Linked DNA regions of Coturnix japonica. The protein of the gene in region 1 purifies or fractionates together with the protein of each later gene. This does not show direct contact. Links are inferred from orthologs where the notes say so. Each region holds a gene or a part of one and is shown in the gene's direction. Other genes may lie near its edges. The genes, in order: NUDCD1 and DHX15.

Region 1 (3,824 bases):
TTGTTCAGCTTCATATAGGTGATGATTGCCCAGCCTTCTAATTTGTCAGCAGCTCTCTACAAGTTCTCTTTACTTTCAAGTGTTGACAGTTCCTCCCATTTTTGTGTTATCTGCAGACTTACTTAATACTAGTGAGCAGCAAAAGGAAGATTAGAAGAGCATTTTCTTTCTTTCCTTTGAGCTGGGAGGCTTTGTGATGTGAAGACTTTTTTAATTAAAGTTTTCAGAATTGTTGACTCCTGTCACTCCACTTCAGTGTTGATAAGTGTAATGAGGGCTTTAGAAGATTAAATGATCGACAGTTGATAGTTCTTTAAAACACAATTACATCAATAACTATTTGAAGCTTACTGTTATGATTCACTTGAAGGCTGTCAGAAGTGTGGTCTTCTATGGTGTTGCATAGAATATGCCTGTAATTTGTAGTTCTGGGGCTGAAGCTTTTTCTTTCCGCAATTTTCGTTCTTTTTTCCCATTCGCATCAGTCACTTCTTACCATGGAATGGTAAGAAATATCAGAAAATACTGCCTTTCAGTAAAACCTTAAGAAATTCAAGCAGAAAATGAGGATGTCGGAAATGCTTGGGTGTAGAGTGTGGTTTTTTTTCTTCCTTTGTTTATAATTCTTTCATTCAATCTTTCTGAATGTGTTCTAAATTAGGTGAATAACTGAAGGGTTGTAGTGATGCAACTGAATCTACAGAGTGATCCTGAATGCTACTAGAAATTATAAATCTAATTTGCATCTTTTCTATTGCAGATTTCAGAGTCGTAGAGAAAAGTAATCTCTAATACAAATTCAAGTAGATCCAGAAGACAGTCAGGCTATCTGTTTGTCATCTGGTCTTTTTCAGTGATGCTTATTAAAATGGTACTTACCCAAATCCAGTTTAGCTTGCCTTACTTTGAACATGTTCTAGATGCATATCTGATTTTAATACCATTTGGAAAATACGATAGATTTGAAATCGTCTCTAATACGATAGTCTCAAGTCTATGTCATGCTTGTATGCACGAATGTGGTCTTTCTGTGTTGTATATGTGTGCACAAGTTGAGTAAGAAAGAGGGTTAAAGTTTGTTTTAGTTTAGAAGTCAGTGTAAATTAACTTTTTTTTGTACATTTCTATGGCTTTTATTTCATTTAAGGTCTCCAGGTTCTTAGTGGGATTAAAACTGTGAGGTGAGTGATAAATTCTATGGGAATGTTAGGAAAAAAGAAGTAAAAAACTTTTAAATGCAAAATGTAAATTAGTGCTGTGAATTTGAAGGGAAAAAAATGGTGTTGAAATACCAATTATAAAACACTTAAGTTTTCAGTAAACAGACTGAATACTGAAATTCTACCACCTCTTCCTCATATGTGGAAGTGATGCTTGGCTACCTACATTTTTCCTAATAGGCTCAATTACATGAGCTGACTGGTGAATTGCTGTTGAAGTTTGTTGTTCATTTTTCTGCAATGCTGAAATTGATTAGTACTTCATAAAGTGACTCTGCTTACAGGACACTGCTCTCCAAAAACCAAGAGAAGTTTTCAGGCTACCTACAGATTTGACAGCTTATGATGATCGCCTTTGTGCCTCAATGTACTTCTCATCTTCCACATGGGTTACCATTTCTGATGGAACAGGAAGACTATATTTAATTAAGTCAGGCAAGCGTGGAAACAGTGCATCGGAAAAATGGGAGGTAAGTCTTAAAATAGCACATTAAGAATTGTATATTTACCAAATAATTCTTACTCCTGCACTTAATAGGAGAATTGCATGCATATAATGTTATGAAAAACGAAGCTTTCAATCTTAACTCTGTGGTTGATATTGGGCTGTGTCCAAACATAAAGATCATGTGAATTATTTCTTGAAGTGAAAGAAAAAAATCTGTAAAATTCAAATGGTTGAATGGAAACAGCAAACAGCCTTTTTACGGGAAAAGAATCTGTCTGAAGAGAGCGAGTGTTTCTAAATAGGTGACTGCACACCTGTCAAGCTGAACTTATAATAAGAACCATTTTCCCTTTCCCTTCTCTATTCTTATGGGTCAGCCTAAGTTTTCCTTCCACTATCACATTATTTCTTCTGACCCATGGAATAATAAGTACGTTTTAAAATGCCTGAAATTATTGTCAAGCTAAATGCTACTTTTCATTTTGTTAGAGGGTTTCTAGATCACTTGTGCTGATGTAATTGCATTTGAAATGTTCATCATTTTAATTTGACCTGTCTTAAAAGTGTGTCCATGGTGAATAAAATAAAAATTAAAGAAAACTGATGATTAAAAACCTTTTATAAGTAGCCCCGAGGGCTTTATGCAGAGTAGGTATAATCTAAATTGTAATATTTCCACCTCTCTGGGAGAGAAATTTTTCATGCTGTACACTTAGCTCTGGAGAATTATTGGTGCTTAGTATTTTTTATTTAACTTTGTGGTTGTAACTGAAGCACGTTTCTCATTAAATAGGTTACAAAATCACTTACTTTAAACCATCTTGAGAAGGAGCGTTTCTGATATCCACGGAGCAGTGGTGTTTCCATAGCAATAATGCTATTAGTTCTACAAAACAAATGTAGTTATGGTACATTTCTGCTTCAGCTGCTATAAGTTTTGGTCTGTTGTTTCTCTTTATTTCTGAAGGATGAATTTGATATTAAAGTACCACATTTTTCATGCAACTTTTTAATTAGAGGATAGTTTTATACACAGCCAAGGAGCTTTTAATATTGGCAGGAAGTCAAACATATACCTGGAAGTGGAGGATTTCTACATGGTGGAATAACTCCTTCCCCTGTACAATTTGAAAGTTCAGTCAAAAGGAAGCCAGTTACCCTGTTCTGTAGTGCAGATATTTTTGTAGAGTTTTGTGCTTGATCTAGTGGACCATTTTAATGATTCTATCATATAAACAGTAATAAAAAGGACACTTTCTTGATAGCTAAGGAAGGAACTGCTAGAAATACATAGAATAGTTCTGCTAGAAGAGAACTTCAGGTCACACACCAACTGTGTGACCACTTCAGGGCTAACCAAAAGTTAATGTGATTTGTGGCGAGCATATTTAATTAATTGATTTAATGTTCTCTGAAGCTTTCACTAATTTTTGAGTTTTAACTGACTAACCTTTTTCTACCATTTTGCCTTCCAGACTGTGTTTAGTGAAGAACTAGGCAGTCCATTCGTTATAGTACACAGTGTTTCATTTGTAAAATCTGATAAACATTCAATAGCTGTGCTACTGCTCAGGGTAGAAAAAGATGAATTGGACACAAAAGGAAGTGGATTTCATATTACTTTGGAATGGGTTACATTTGTAGAGATGAACAAAGCGGGTAAGTGTTTTATATTTATGTTATTAGTAGGTAAGGGGAAAAAAACTAAAACCAAACAAACAAAAAAAACAAAACAAACAAACAAAAAAAAACAAAAACTGCAAAAGAAAAACAGCTATTATGCTTTCATTAATTGTTTTGGATGTTGATTGTTCCTCAATTTCTGATGTTTGCATCCCAACAAAACCCTCATCACACTTTAAATTCAAGTTCTCACTTGTAGACCTGCAGTATGACAAACATTTGGAGGACAGGAAGGAGTCAATTTCTGCATGTGTATAGTTAAGGCGATTAGAAAACAAGCTAGGAATAATACGACATTATGGGATGAATAATAAATTCCCATTTAGCTCTGTCTATTAAAATCTAAGTTGAAAACTATTTCTAATTAATATCTCTCGTACTTTTCAAAACATTGTATAAGAATTTAATTTCCCAGTACAATGTAGTCATACTTGATTTGGTCATCCATCTAATCTGAGGTCATCTGTTGATGC
Region 2 (3,824 bases), on another chromosome or scaffold:
AATTTTATGCCTCTCTTATACTTAGCTAGAACAGTGTAAAATAGCTTAGTAGAGAAGAACTTTAGCCTTAAAAACTGAAAAAAGAGGATTTGAAGTTAGGTGTGGAATGTGAATTTCATAGTTACTTGATTTACTGAAAGTAAGTGAAATAGGTGCTAGAAGTTACCTGTTTATATCATGTTAGCATGGGAAACTAGCTCTAAAGTGAGAAGAGAGAAGAAATTACCCAGGCTAGTATTTTTTCTTGTCAGTGTTTATTGGGAGCTCTCGCACCTCTGAAAATCTTCAGAAAACTGAAGTAGATTGCCTGCAGTCAAACCAAGAACTAAATATAGAACAAAATTCTAGTCTTTTAAACTTAATTGAGTCCTTTTACTGGTAACTGTCTTCATAACTTGGTTTCTTAAAGGCTTTTCCTTTAACACTCATGCATGTTGTCAGACTTTCTCTCTTCTGTGGTCTGAGATACAATAGAATGTGAGTACAGGTGATGCAGCTCCATACAGGAGTTGTAATCATCACTTAGGCGTAACTCTTTTTGTGAGCAGCTCTTCTGGCTGAATGCTGTCTGTAATAAGAACTGAAGGTTTTGATTGCTGTTTATACCTGTTCATACCAGGAGGGTGTTAAACCATGAACCAGAGGATGTTTTCATCTGAAGTTGATTGTTTTTGCTTTATCATCTTTTTCATGAACCCTGGGGGTGAGCTGCTGTTTATGTATGACTGCATGTGAAAGTCTACACGTGGCCCTGAAGTAGTCTTGCTTTATAATCAGTGTGATTTTACAGTTGCGTTCAAGCCTTAACGTTACATTTCTCTGACCTCTGCAACACAATTATTCAACCTTATAATTGTGTCAAGACAACTTGTTTTTGCGTGGAATTACTTGAGCATCAAGAGTGTGTTTAGCACTCTGTAGAACAAATTAGACACATTAGTTCTGCCATGAAATTCTTATCTAAAAATACACACGCATTTAAGTAGGATGGGAAGCCTGGCAGGAGATGATGTTAATAAAAGAATTAAAAGTAACTGCTGTTTTCTAGGCAGTTCTATTGAGGTTTTTTGTCAACTGATTTAAAGAATTATGTAGCCAAAATTGTTTTTTCCTTTCAGATTCATACAGCTTGTGTTTTTCTCGTCCAAAGTTGCATTTGAAAATAAATTTAAAGCTGTCTTTATTTTGAGATAAGTCTTACCTTGAGTGATATTCATTCATCTCCTTTTTCTGCTCCTATTCCACTTTGAAATAGGTATATAATCCTCGTATCAGAGTGGAGTCTCTCTTGGTGACTGCAATTAGTAAAGCTTCTGCACAGCAGCGAGCTGGCCGTGCTGGTCGTACCAGACCAGGCAAGTGCTTCAGGCTGTACACAGAGAAGGCTTACAAAACTGAAATGCAGGTAAGATTACTCTTTTTGGAGTACATGTGTAAGAGCACTTGATCCAAGTAGCCAATTGCTGTGCTGCCAAGCAAAATCAAAATTTGAATGCTTGTTCCTCCAAGGACCAAAGTTCACAGTACTGTACGTTTTCTTTTTCCTTCCCTTAGGATAACACGTACCCTGAGATTTTGAGGTCTAACTTGGGATCTGTAGTGTTGCAGCTCAAGAAGCTTGGTATAGACGATTTGGTGCACTTTGATTTTATGGATCCTCCAGGTATTTGTTCCATATTTTCTTGTCTGCTACAGGCATAGACAACTTCCGCAGTCTTTAATTTTGTTGAATATTTTATACAATGATGTAAAATGTTATTTCCCACTTTTTATCATAATCCAAAAGGAACATCTTTGTTTATTTAGTGCTGTGTCTTACAAAACAACTCTCTTAATAACGCTGTTTGCCTAAGAGCTTCCAGTGGAAAGTGGAAATCTACTGAATGTTCTTAACTACAAGGGTATGGCTAAATTATGTGCATTAAAAAAATCTATTGCTGAGTGAATTTTTTACTCATCACCTTGATTACGCTTTCTAATTGCACATCAGTTAACTGCATGTAAATAAAATTGGCTAGCATTTTAAAGCTGAATACATGCTTTTTTGGCTTAGTCTATATCTTTCTTGTAAAAGTATTAAATGTTAGAAATACCTTGAAAATAACAAGGTTGCGTTGCAAATTAAACTCACAGATTGGCTTTCTATAAATACATCAAAGCTGGTTGAGTTTTTCTACTTGAAATAAAAACTTAACGTATATAAGCATTTAAGCAGTTTCACTGAACTTCTTTGTTAATGCAGTGCAGTGCTTTGTGGTTTGTATGCTAACTTAGCAGGTGTCTGGATTCTTTTTTTTTTTTGTGTGTGTGTACTGTACTCTCGCTCTAAGAAATGCAGATTTCAGGGAAGTTCTTAAAAGTTCAGATTGTGGAAGAACATGGATATCTAAAGTACGTGGTTGAAATTCTGGGACTGTACTCAGTTTGTTTTCTGCGAATAAGAAAGATGTCAGAGACAATTGATATTACTAAGTGAATATTTAACAATGCCTCTGCTGTTTGAATCTTGGAAAGTAGTACTCTTCAAATATTCAGAGACTTTGAACCAGTTAGTAGCTGTTTTTAGCGATTTTTATCTACTAGTTGATTCATATCTGGGTGTTTATGATTGGATTTGGTAACAGTTTTGTGTTTGGAAGCCATCTGAACGGAGAGTGAAAAACAAGGTCATCTGTGCACTCTCATTCTTGCTTATTCATTGCACTTTGATTAATGTAACTACCTAAATATTTCTTTCAGCTCCTGAAACTCTGATGAGAGCCTTAGAGCTCTTGAATTATCTGGCTGCTTTAAATGATGATGGAGACTTGACCGAGTTGGGATCCATGATGGCTGAATTTCCACTGGACCCACAACTGGCTAAAATGGTTATTGCAAGTTGTGACTACAACTGTTCTAATGAGGTCCTATCTATTACTGCCATGTTGTCAGGTAATATTAAGGAAAGGGATACCAAAGTGCAGATCTTGAGTTTGGGGGAAGTTTGACCTTTCCGCGTGAAAAGCATAAGAAATCTGAAGTTATTTTTATTAAAAACTGATTTGTCAGAAATTTAATCCATTATGGGTTTGCTTGTAGACCTGCAGCAAATAATCATTAAAGTGAAGAAATCAGCATGCATAGATAGGATCAAACTTTTTGACTAACTTTTAGTTAAAATACATTTATTTGAGTTCATAGAAAATTTCGATCTAGTGGAATGGAAATTTATTTTTAGTTTCATAATCAGGACTAAAAATGCTGGCTAACCACTCTGCTTTTACGGCAGTGAAATCTATTCTCTATTGTGTATTCTTTGCACTTTGATACATGCCAGTATTTCCAAAAGAATTAGAGCACAAATTATATTGAACTGCTAAACTTCTACGTGATAAGATTTTTAGTGATTAATTTTATTGGGAAGCTAAAGAGCATTCATTACTTCTAAAGGAAAGAGAGTTTGGGGGAGGGTGTATATTTTTAATAGTTAATTTGTGTGCACAGCTGTACCTTGCATAAAGTGAATAGCCCTGTCATAACAGCTGCTTGTCAAGAGAGATCTGGAGAGTAAGATGTTGTCAAGCAAGCCTTGCATCTCATTGCTCAGTTTACATAGAACTGACTTCATTTTATAGTTGGTCTCTCTAGGACAAGCAGCAAGATTTTGTTCTTAGGAAAGTCAGGATGTTCTGTATTCATAATTACTGCGATGTCTTCAGGGTGTGCTATTTAACAGGCTCTTTGCAGTTGTACTGCTGGTTATGTGCTTGACTTGGACAATTAGAAAAAAATCTGAGTTCAAAATCTGCTTTGGTTAAGTCTTACAGTGTATTTATATGAAAGTT

Evidence for each region.
Region 2: the proteins of NUDCD1 (region 1) and DHX15 purify together in Homo sapiens (co-immunoprecipitation; 3 studies listed by BioGRID and IntAct, with this or other methods). This does not show direct contact. The link is inferred for Coturnix japonica from reciprocal best matches to the Homo sapiens genes NUDCD1 and DHX15.

Annotation. Positions count from the first base shown.
Region 1 is NC_029517.1:119,473,453-119,477,276, reverse strand, and holds part of NUDCD1 (nudC domain-containing protein 1), read left to right. Parts: intron 1-1,504; coding exon 1,505-1,690; intron 1,691-3,143; coding exon 3,144-3,327; intron 3,328-3,824.
Region 2 is NC_029519.1:66,730,190-66,734,013, forward strand, and holds part of DHX15 (pre-mRNA-splicing factor ATP-dependent RNA helicase DHX15), read left to right. Parts: intron 1-1,255; coding exon 1,256-1,405; intron 1,406-1,554; coding exon 1,555-1,663; intron 1,664-2,739; coding exon 2,740-2,931; intron 2,932-3,824.